Macaca mulatta: one gene and its partner. The protein of the gene in region 2 interacts with the protein of the main gene of each other region in a biochemical or structural test. Links are inferred from orthologs where the notes say so. Each region holds a gene or a part of one and is shown on either strand. Other genes may lie near its edges.

Region 1 (4,502 bases), on a different chromosome or scaffold from region 2:
GGGCCTGGCACCCAGGACCTGTGGAGAGGCAGGGTGGGTGGGTCAGGGACTAGGGATGGCGACACATGCCCCCAGCCCTGGCCCCTGCAGCTCCAGCACTCCTGGGAAGAGGGTGAGGACATGCCTGGGTGAGGAGGGGAGGAGGGTGAGGACATGCCTGGGTGGGGGGGGAGGAGGGTGAGGACTCTCCTGGGTGGGGGGGGAGGAGGGTGAGGACTCTCCTGGGTGGGGGGGGAGGAGGGTGAGGACTCTCCTGGGTGGGGAGGGGAGGAGGGTGAGGACTCTCCTGGGTGGGGGGGAGGAGGGTGAGGACTCTCCTGGGTGGGGGGGAGGAGGGTGAGGACTATTCTGGGTGGGGAGGGGAGGAGGGTGAGAACTCTCCTGGGTGGGGGGGGAGGAGGGTGAGGACTCTCCTGGGTGGAGGGGGAGGAGGGTGAGGACTCTCCTGGGTGGGGGGGGAGGAGGATGAGGACTCTCCTGGGTGGGGGGGGAGGAGGGTGAGGACTCTCCTGGGTGGGGAGGGGAGGAGGGTGAGGACTCTCCTGGGTGGGGGGGAGGAGGGTGAGGACTATTCTGGGTGGGGAGGGGAGGAGGGTGAGAACTCTCCTGGGTGGGGGGGGAGGAGGGTGAGGACTCTCCTGGGTGGGGGGGAGGAGGGTGAGGACTATTCTGGGTGGGGAGGGGAGGAGGGTGAGAACTCTCCTGGGTGGGGGGGGAGGAGGGTGAGGACTCTCCTGAGTGGGGGGGAGGAGGGTGAGGACTATTCTGGGTGGGGAGGGGAGGAGGGTGAGAACTCTCCTGGGTTGGGGGGGAGGAGGGTGAGGACATGCCTGGGTGGGGAGGGGAGGAGGGTGAGAACTCTCCTGGGTGGGGGGGGGAGGAGGGTGAGGACTCTCCTGGGTGGGGGGGGGAGGAGGGTGAGGACTATTCTGGGTGGGGAGGGGAGGAGGGTGAGAACTCTCCTGGGTTGGGGGGGAGAGGGACAGCCCCTGACAGGGGCTGATGCATCCTGGGGAGAGGGGGATGCGGGAAAGTGAAGAGGCCCCTGGGGAGGGAGAGAGGACAGAACTGGTTGGGGTGGGTGAGGACATCCTGGGGGAGGAGAATGAGACTCCCTGGGATGGTGAGACCCCTGGGAGGCCCTTCTCACCTCTGCAGCGCCATCTCTTGCCCCCCTCCCACATACCCACTTTGTGCTCTGGGCCCTGTGAACTCTCTGGATTTTGGATGTTTGTTCAAGGCACTGGAGGACCGCTGTCCAGACAGCTCCTTCCAGAAGCAGTGCAGGCATCCCCTCCTCCCGCAGCCTTCCCGGTCTATTTTTGCACCCCAGCCTCAGCCAGGCCCTGCACCTTGCGCTTTTTCTTGTGTATTCATTCACAGAACCCTAGAAGTAGGTTATCTCCTTAGCCCCATTTTACAGGAGGGATGGCTGAGGCCCTGGGAGGGCTGGCGGTTTGCCAGCATCACCAGGCAGTCAGGAGTGGCACTGGGTTCAAACTCATGGCTCCCTGGCCTCTCCCTGCCTGGGCTGAGGAGCCAGTCTGTGGCCTGCCCTGGCCTGTGACCCTGTGCCTGGCCCTCATTCTCTGTAAGTTGTATGTGTCAACTCAGGGGTGAGTTCAGTCCTCGGGCTGGATTGCTGGTGAGCGAAGGGGGTCAGAGCGGGGTGGAGACTGGGGGTGTCTCTGAGTGAGACCGGGCTGCTCAGGCTGGCTGCAGTGTCCAATCTGGGCTCCTCTGGGAAGTCCCAGCTCTCAGCCAGGCCTCCCACATGGCCGGCCCCCTCTTCTGGAGGTAGGCGGAGGAGGGAAGTGAGGAAGAGAGAAGGAGGAAGAGGTGGGGAGAGGGGCCGAGCACCCTTATCATCATGGGCTTAAGACTCAGACGTGAGCTCCAATCCTTGCTCCCAGTGTCCGCTTGGGTGGGGAACCTTCTTCTCTGAACTCCTGGGTTAGCGTGGCCACAGCCCCTGCCAGCTGTCCTTGAGCGGGTGAGGAGGAATCTATGAGACATCTGTTCCCCCAGTGCTCAGAAGGGACTCCCAACACAGAGAGGCACCTGAGGTTTAAGGCAGATAAAGCTTTTTCTCCCCTTGACAGACGCTGAATGCTACTACCCTCAAGTCCCCTTCCTGTCCCCAGCCCTCGTGCTCAGTCAAGAGCAACTTTAGTTCCTTATTTTGGCCTGTGGGGAGCAGGAGGTGGGGGAGGTGACTCTTGCTCCTGCCTGCCTCCGTGAGGCTGTGGACGCCCCTTCTTCACTGGGCTCCCTCCAGCCCCACATTGGCCCAGCTTGGCACAGATACGATTTCTATAGGCATCTTCCCTGGCTCCCCTACCCTCTGCCTCCTCTTCCCCTTTCCCTGAGCCCCCTTCCCTCTGCCTGTGCCCACTCTGCAGCCTCCACATCTTCCCCCACCTCCCACCAGTTCCTGCCCTTTGGCCACATACCCAGGTAGGCAGCAGACAGCAGGAAGAAGAGGAAGATGGTGGCAGGCAGAGCTTGGAGGACTCCTGGACCCCCAGGCATCTTCTCCTAGTGGGTTGGTTAGTTTGAGTTGCAGCAGTCCCCGGGTACCAGATCCCTACCCCAAACCCCACCCTACTTCCTGCCCAGCCCCCCGGAGATGGGCTCCAGTGGCCCTCGCTGCTGGGCCCTTTACTTGTTGGGCCTGGGGACAGCCCCTGCCGGGTAGGCTTCAGGCTGTGAGTGGAGAGGAACTGCTCCCTGCACCTGTGGTGGCCACAATTCCCCTGAGAGGTGGCTGCTTGGGTGGGGGAAGAGGCTGGTTCAAGGGCTGGCTCGTCACTGCTGAGCCTTTGGAAGGAAGCCTAGGGAACCTGAGTCCTGGGCATGTGCTGTGGGCAGGTGATGGTTCTGAGCTTGACCTCTGCCCCTGCCTGGACTTGGGGAAACCTTGTCCCTTCCCTGACCCCATTTCCTTGCTTCTTGATTAGAAACAAGGACTTAAAAGGGGTTGTTGCATGCACAGAAATGGCCCATAGTAGGCGCTCAGTAAATGTTAGTCACTATAAATGCTCATGAAGAATAAATAAGGCAGGCTGACCTGTGGCTGAGTACCCGTGTGACTAGGTGGGCACTTTTATCCTTTGAACCTTGACATTTTTCATCTGTGAGATGAGGACCAGAATGTCTCCCTGTCTCATTATGTGATATGAGATGGTGTTTCTGGTATTCCAGGAGTTAGAGCCACGATCAGCTCTTTACTGGAATTCTTTGTTAAAAAACAGGCCAGGTATGGTGGCTCACGCTCAGGCCAGGTATGGTGGCGGGAGGTGGGGAGAGATGTGGAGGCTGCAGAGAGGGCACAGGCAGAGGGAAGGGGGCTCAGGGAAAGGGAAGAGGAGGCAGAGGGTAGGGGAGCCAGGAAAGATGCCTATAGAAATCGTATCTGTGCCAAGCTGGGCCAATGTGGGGCTGTAGGGAGCCCAGCGAAGGAGAAGGGGCGTCTACAGCCTCACGGAGGCAGGCAGGAGCAAGAGTCACTTTGAGAGGCTGAGGTGGGAGAATCACCTGAAGTCAAGAGTTTGAGACCAGCCTGGCCAACATGGTGAAACCCCATCTCTATTAAAAATACAAAAATTGGCCGGGCGCGGTGGCTCAAGCCTGTAATCCCAGCACTTTGGGAGGCCGAGACGGGCGGATCACGAGGTCAGGAGATCGAGACCATCCTGGCTAACACAGTGAAACCCCGTCTCTACTAAAAAATACAAAAAAAACCTAGCCGGGCGCGGTGGCGGGCGCCTGTAGTCCCAGCTACTCGGGAGGCTGAGGCAGGAGAATGGCGTGAACCCGGGAGACGGAGCTTGCAGTGAGCCGAGATCCGGCCACTGCACTCCAGCCTGGGCGACAGAGCGAGACTCCGTCTCCAGAAAAAAAAAAAAAAAAAAAAAAAAAAAAAAAAAATTAGCTGGATGTAGTGGCACATGCCTGTTATCCCAGCTACTCAGGAGGTTGAGGCAGGAGAATCAGTTGAACCCAGGAGGGGGAGGTTGCAGTGAGCTGAGATCACACCATTGCACTCCAGCCTGGGTGACAAGAGTGAAACTCCATCTCAAATAATAATAATAATAACATATATTTTTCTTCTTTTTTTTTTTAGAGAGATGGGATCTTGCTATATTGCCCAGGCTGGTCTTGAACTCCTGTCCTCAAGCAATCCTCCTGCCTCGGCTTCCCAAAGTGCTGGGATTACAGGCATGTGCCACTGCACACAGCCAGAAGTTGTTTTATATTGACCTGCCATGACTGGGCAAGGTAGGCCATCCCCCATTTTACAGATGGGGAAACTGAGGCCAGAGAGGGGAGGTTGTTACTTGCTGGTGTCATACAGTCTAAGGGTGGTGAACAGAGATTCAAAGTCGTCTTTGTGTTGCTCCCAGTTTCCTTTGAGCATGTCTGGTAGGAGGGAAATGAGGTCTGAGTGGGGAGGGCGGAGTTGCTGAGATATTTGTGAGCAGTTAGGGGACCCTCACACA
Region 2 (4,502 bases):
ATGATGAGTCAATTGGGAGATTATTAAAAACTAAACATTTCATTTTCAAGTTAGTTTTACTAATTTGAAAAGGGATATTTGCAAAGTGATTCAGGATTGTAAATTTTGAAATGTTCCCCTAGAAGGGTGAAATTTTTATGATCATAGGAATGTTTACTGTGGAACGATTGAGAACCCAGGTCTAGCCGGGTTTCTGATGATATCTTTACCTCATACAATTAAGGGAAAATCATGGCTAGGAATCAACTAAGAGACTCTGAGTGTCTATGGACTCCAACTAACAGAGAAGCCTACTGTAGCAGTGCCTCGGTGGGAGCAAAAACATGAGAATCTGTGCTCACACCTCTCTGTGGTCACAAGCAACTTAGCCATCTCGCCTATCTCTATTCTGATACAGCAGAAACTCTCAAGGTGATGACCCATCCCCAAATGGGTTCATCTAGAACATTCCCTTTCTCCTTCATTTTGAGAATTCCTTGTCTCCTTCCAATCCTGCATGACCTCCTTTCCTTGGATGACTCTGCTTCCCCTCACCTTCTAGTAATTCCTTCTTCTCTACTTTCTTTTCAGTCCTGGGAATATACTCCCTGGATCAAGGTCATTCCTTTCAGTTCCCTGGATGAACACTCACTGTCTTTCTATTTTTGTGGCTAAGAATTTGAGCAAATTCTCACCTAAGCCTAAGAGTATAAACATAACTGTCCACTTTTGCTGTCGTCTGGTGCCAAATAATTATGTTGTTAATCAACCTCCAGAATTGATGTCAACCAGTCAGGATAGAGGACACAAATCACAGGAGGCAAGTATTTCATCTATTAACTGCTCAGCATCCCAGCTATCTAATTATGGAAAAGAGTTAAGATGGTGCTTCGAGCCCATTTAATTTACAATTTCATTTCTTTGAAAAGTTCCACGTCAGCAGGGTACATTTTATCACAACGTGATGATTCTATAAAGACAACTGAGTGATCAAGTGGGAAAAAAGTTACTTTTATGTAAGCAGATGAGTGTAGTATATGATTATCCGTGGTATAATTTTGGTTTTCTATTCCATAATCTATGGTTGTATATTGCCCATCAGCTGCTCTGTGATCAAGCTGGACTTTGTCCCAAAGGGAGGAATCATAAAATGATTTAAGTTCTAGCACCTTTACTTAAATTCCCATCTGGATTCCCTGAAAGAGAATACGTCTCTGTATAGTTCTACATTATGATATATGTCTGAAAAAAACATTTGGAATCCTCCTGTTCATTCATTAGTTTCTTTGCCACGTCTTTCTTCCCTCTCTTTCCCTCTTCCTTCTCACTGCTGTGCCCCAAGTCCAGGCCTACAGCCCTGGATGCTTGGGTTACTTAAGCGCTCCTCCCTCCCAACAGATCCCTGCCTCCAGTGTCCCTCTCACTCCAACACATCCTACCAGACTCCTTTAAGCCTGCTGTCATGACATCACTAACAGCATAACCTGTTCTCCAACACTCCCTATGGTTAGGGCCCTCACCACCCTTTGCAACCTGGACCCGCCCTATGTGTCCAATTATACCAGGACCTTCAGGTCCTACATGCCCTACTCTATAGTTTCCGCTAGACAGAAAACTTTCCTCACCATCCCACAAATGGACCGTATGTGTGTTAAGCTTTGAGTGACAGCCTCTGTATTTCCTCCCTCCCAGCACATACATGTTTCCTCCAATTCTCCAGTATTTTATAATTTTACCCACCTCTCAAAGCCTACCTCTTAAATTATCTTCTCTATGAAACCTCCTCCTGCTACTCTAATTCTCTTCTTACATTCCTTCAGTCACTTACAGCTTCTATTGTATCATCCCTGCCCCTTATGAGGGTGTAGCTATTTGAGACCAAGGGCAAGAATGAGGTGCCTTCCTGTCCCGTCAGTGCTGATCACACAGCAGAACTCAACAGCATGTTCTTGAAATGGTTGAATGCAGTTGATACTGCCTACTGATCCCAGATCATTGGTGCATATCACATTACCTTTTACCAAGCACCTCCTAGGCATAAGACCTGTATTCTAGTGTGAAGGGCTGTCCCTCTGCCAATTCCAGACTTTCTCTTAAATATTGTCTCAAAAGCTTCAATTCTCTGGCTCCTTGTTATCTGGGATTACTTGTCTGCTACACGTGTCACATCACCCCCTGAACATTTGGCTCAGTTCCGATATGTAGTCAGAATAGAAAACACTCCCTGAATGGAGGGGAACATCACACACCGGGGCCTGTCAGGGAGTTGGGGGCCAGGGGAGGGAGAGCATTAGGAGAAATACTGAATGTAGATGACGGGTTGATGGGTGCAGCAAACCACCATGGGACATGTATACCTATGTAATAAACCTGCACCTTCTGCACATGTACCCCAGAACTTAAAAGTATAATAATAATTTTTTAAAAACTGTTAAAAAATGTGGGAAAAAAACCCACTCCCTGAACTTTAAAAGTTCCAGTCTCTGAAAGCCATGATGCCATTACAATGAGACAAAAAGACGACCTTCAAAAGCAAAATTTGGGGAAGTTGTCTTTTCCATAGCTCCTTGACTCATGCCCGTGGGGCCGCTTCTGGTTTATTCCTTTTTAAGAGGCTTGTTATAGATCATTGTTACGTTGACATGAGGGTATTGGAATGACAGATCTAATCCCCCCAAACACACTTGTAATATACACCCACAAAATAAATGAGACAATAAAACAATGAATAACAAATGATTACAGCTATCCTTAAAATTAAATAGTAACCTGCAATAAAATGGGTGAGGACTCAGTTTAGAGAAACCCTTCCTTAGAAAAGTTGGTTGCACTCAGACTCTGAACGTTGACCTTCAGTAGAATCTAAGCCCTTGGTATTTCTGTTTTATTATCTTTCCAGAGCTTCATACTTTATTGTAAGAGGTAGCTAAAGCAAGTCTCTCTTGTTCCTACACATTTCTTTAAGAACTCAGTCCACTTCCCTATAGCAAGTGCCACCCAATGCTTTCCCTAAAAGCTCAGTCCACTTCCCTATAGTAAGTGCCACCCACTGGAAACTAGCAAAGCATTCCAGGATTTCAGTATTTCTGAGATGCCATAAGAGCATTGGGGGAAAAAAAAGGAGATGAAGAAGGGTAAGTATTGGGTGGGGAAAATCTTACCTCAACTTCTGACTGGCGGGGACGGTTATTTTATTAAGCTTGTCCATTCTGTTTGGTAATTGTAAGAGACACGAATAAGTGTCCAGTGGTCACGTCAGCAGTTCCTGGCCCTCCTAAGGAGCAGCATGGTAAGCCTCTGGTCTCAAGGGTTCCGGCCACTCAAGTCTGACTTCTGAGAGTGCAGGCTGCTGGCAAACACCCCTGCTCTAGGGAGAAGTAAAACTTGCCCGAGCACATAGTCAAGTTTCATGTTTCTACATAATCATGTGATCTGGATAGCCAGCCAGCTTGATGATTACTCCACGTTCTGTAAACTTTAATAGTGAAACCTACTGGGCATGCAAATTTCTTTCCAGCTGCTTTCTTTTACAATCAGATTTGTAACAAGGTTGGGACAAGTTTCTGGCTGGTCACTACTTCCTGTTTGTCCCAAACACATCTAGTCTGTTTCCAGCAGGTGCATGCTATAACTGGGAACTTCCTGGGCTCAAGGAAAAGCAGAGTAATCAAGTCCATCTGAACCTCTCTTGGAGACTTTCTGCTTATTTGCATAAAGTCATGGATAAGCTTTTTCTACTTATAGAACCATTATATAAAAATGGCATTTTTGTGCTTTTCCCTCCCCGCCCCTGATGCGAGCAATATGTTTAAAAATAAATATCAGGGTGGCAGTGACATGGTGGTAACAGTTTACTCGGAGAATTAGAGTCTCTCTTTTTCTGGAGCTCTATTTAAAATGGGATGGGCAATTCTCTGTTCATCTGCGGGTAGGGATGGGTGACCCAGGAAAGGGGAGATGAACTCTGTCGTAAGATGTGCAGCCTCCTTATTGCCTGGTAGAGTCAGGAGTTACCTTGCCGATAGCCAGATGCTTTCAAACAAACCAGGATGTACCCAAAAGTCAGATGAGAACAAATCTAACAGTTTCACAAGAGTGCAATTCCTACATCAGGCCATTCTGAAGTCCTAAAAGCAGAATGCCACTCCCCTCCTTGCATTTGCCTCTTCCTGTCCTGTCCACCGCTTGCTCATCACAGCCAGTGACACGCCAGACACGAGGCCATCTCAAGCTCAGACAGGTGGGGTGAGGTTGGGAGGAGGGAACCATACCTGTAGGGGCTGAACGTATTCAGAGAACTCTACTTCCCTCCTGGAAGACTTGACATTTCCTTCTGCCTAATCTGAAACATGCTGATTTATCTGTTGTTTAAAGAGCAGCCTGCAGTCTAGGGTCAGGGAGGAAGAAAATGGGAGGAACTTTTTGTTCCTGGACATACTTTTTTGCAGCCATCGAGAATGCCCTGCTCACTCTTGTGGAATAAAGTACACATTTCCAACATTTATCAAGGGAACCAGTCTTCT

Evidence for each region. The genes of interacting proteins can lie anywhere in the genome.
Region 1: the proteins of BLNK (region 2) and CD79A form a complex in vitro, tested with the Homo sapiens proteins (2 studies listed by BioGRID). The link is inferred for Macaca mulatta from reciprocal best matches to the Homo sapiens genes BLNK and CD79A.

What each region holds. Positions count from the first base shown.
Region 1 is NC_133424.1:52,914,357-52,918,858, reverse strand, and holds the start of CD79A (B-cell antigen receptor complex-associated protein alpha chain), read right to left. Parts: upstream 2,754-4,502; 5' UTR 2,533-2,753; coding exon 2,454-2,532; intron 19-2,453; coding exon 1-18. UniProt on the Homo sapiens protein: Required in cooperation with CD79B for initiation of the signal transduction cascade activated by binding of antigen to the B-cell antigen receptor complex (BCR) which leads to internalization of the complex, trafficking to late endosomes and antigen presentation.
Region 2 is NC_133414.1:108,279,417-108,283,918, forward strand, and holds the start of BLNK (B-cell linker protein), read right to left. Parts: upstream 3,359-4,502; 5' UTR 3,188-3,358; coding exon 3,141-3,187; intron 1-3,140. UniProt on the Homo sapiens protein: Functions as a central linker protein, downstream of the B-cell receptor (BCR), bridging the SYK kinase to a multitude of signaling pathways and regulating biological outcomes of B-cell function and development.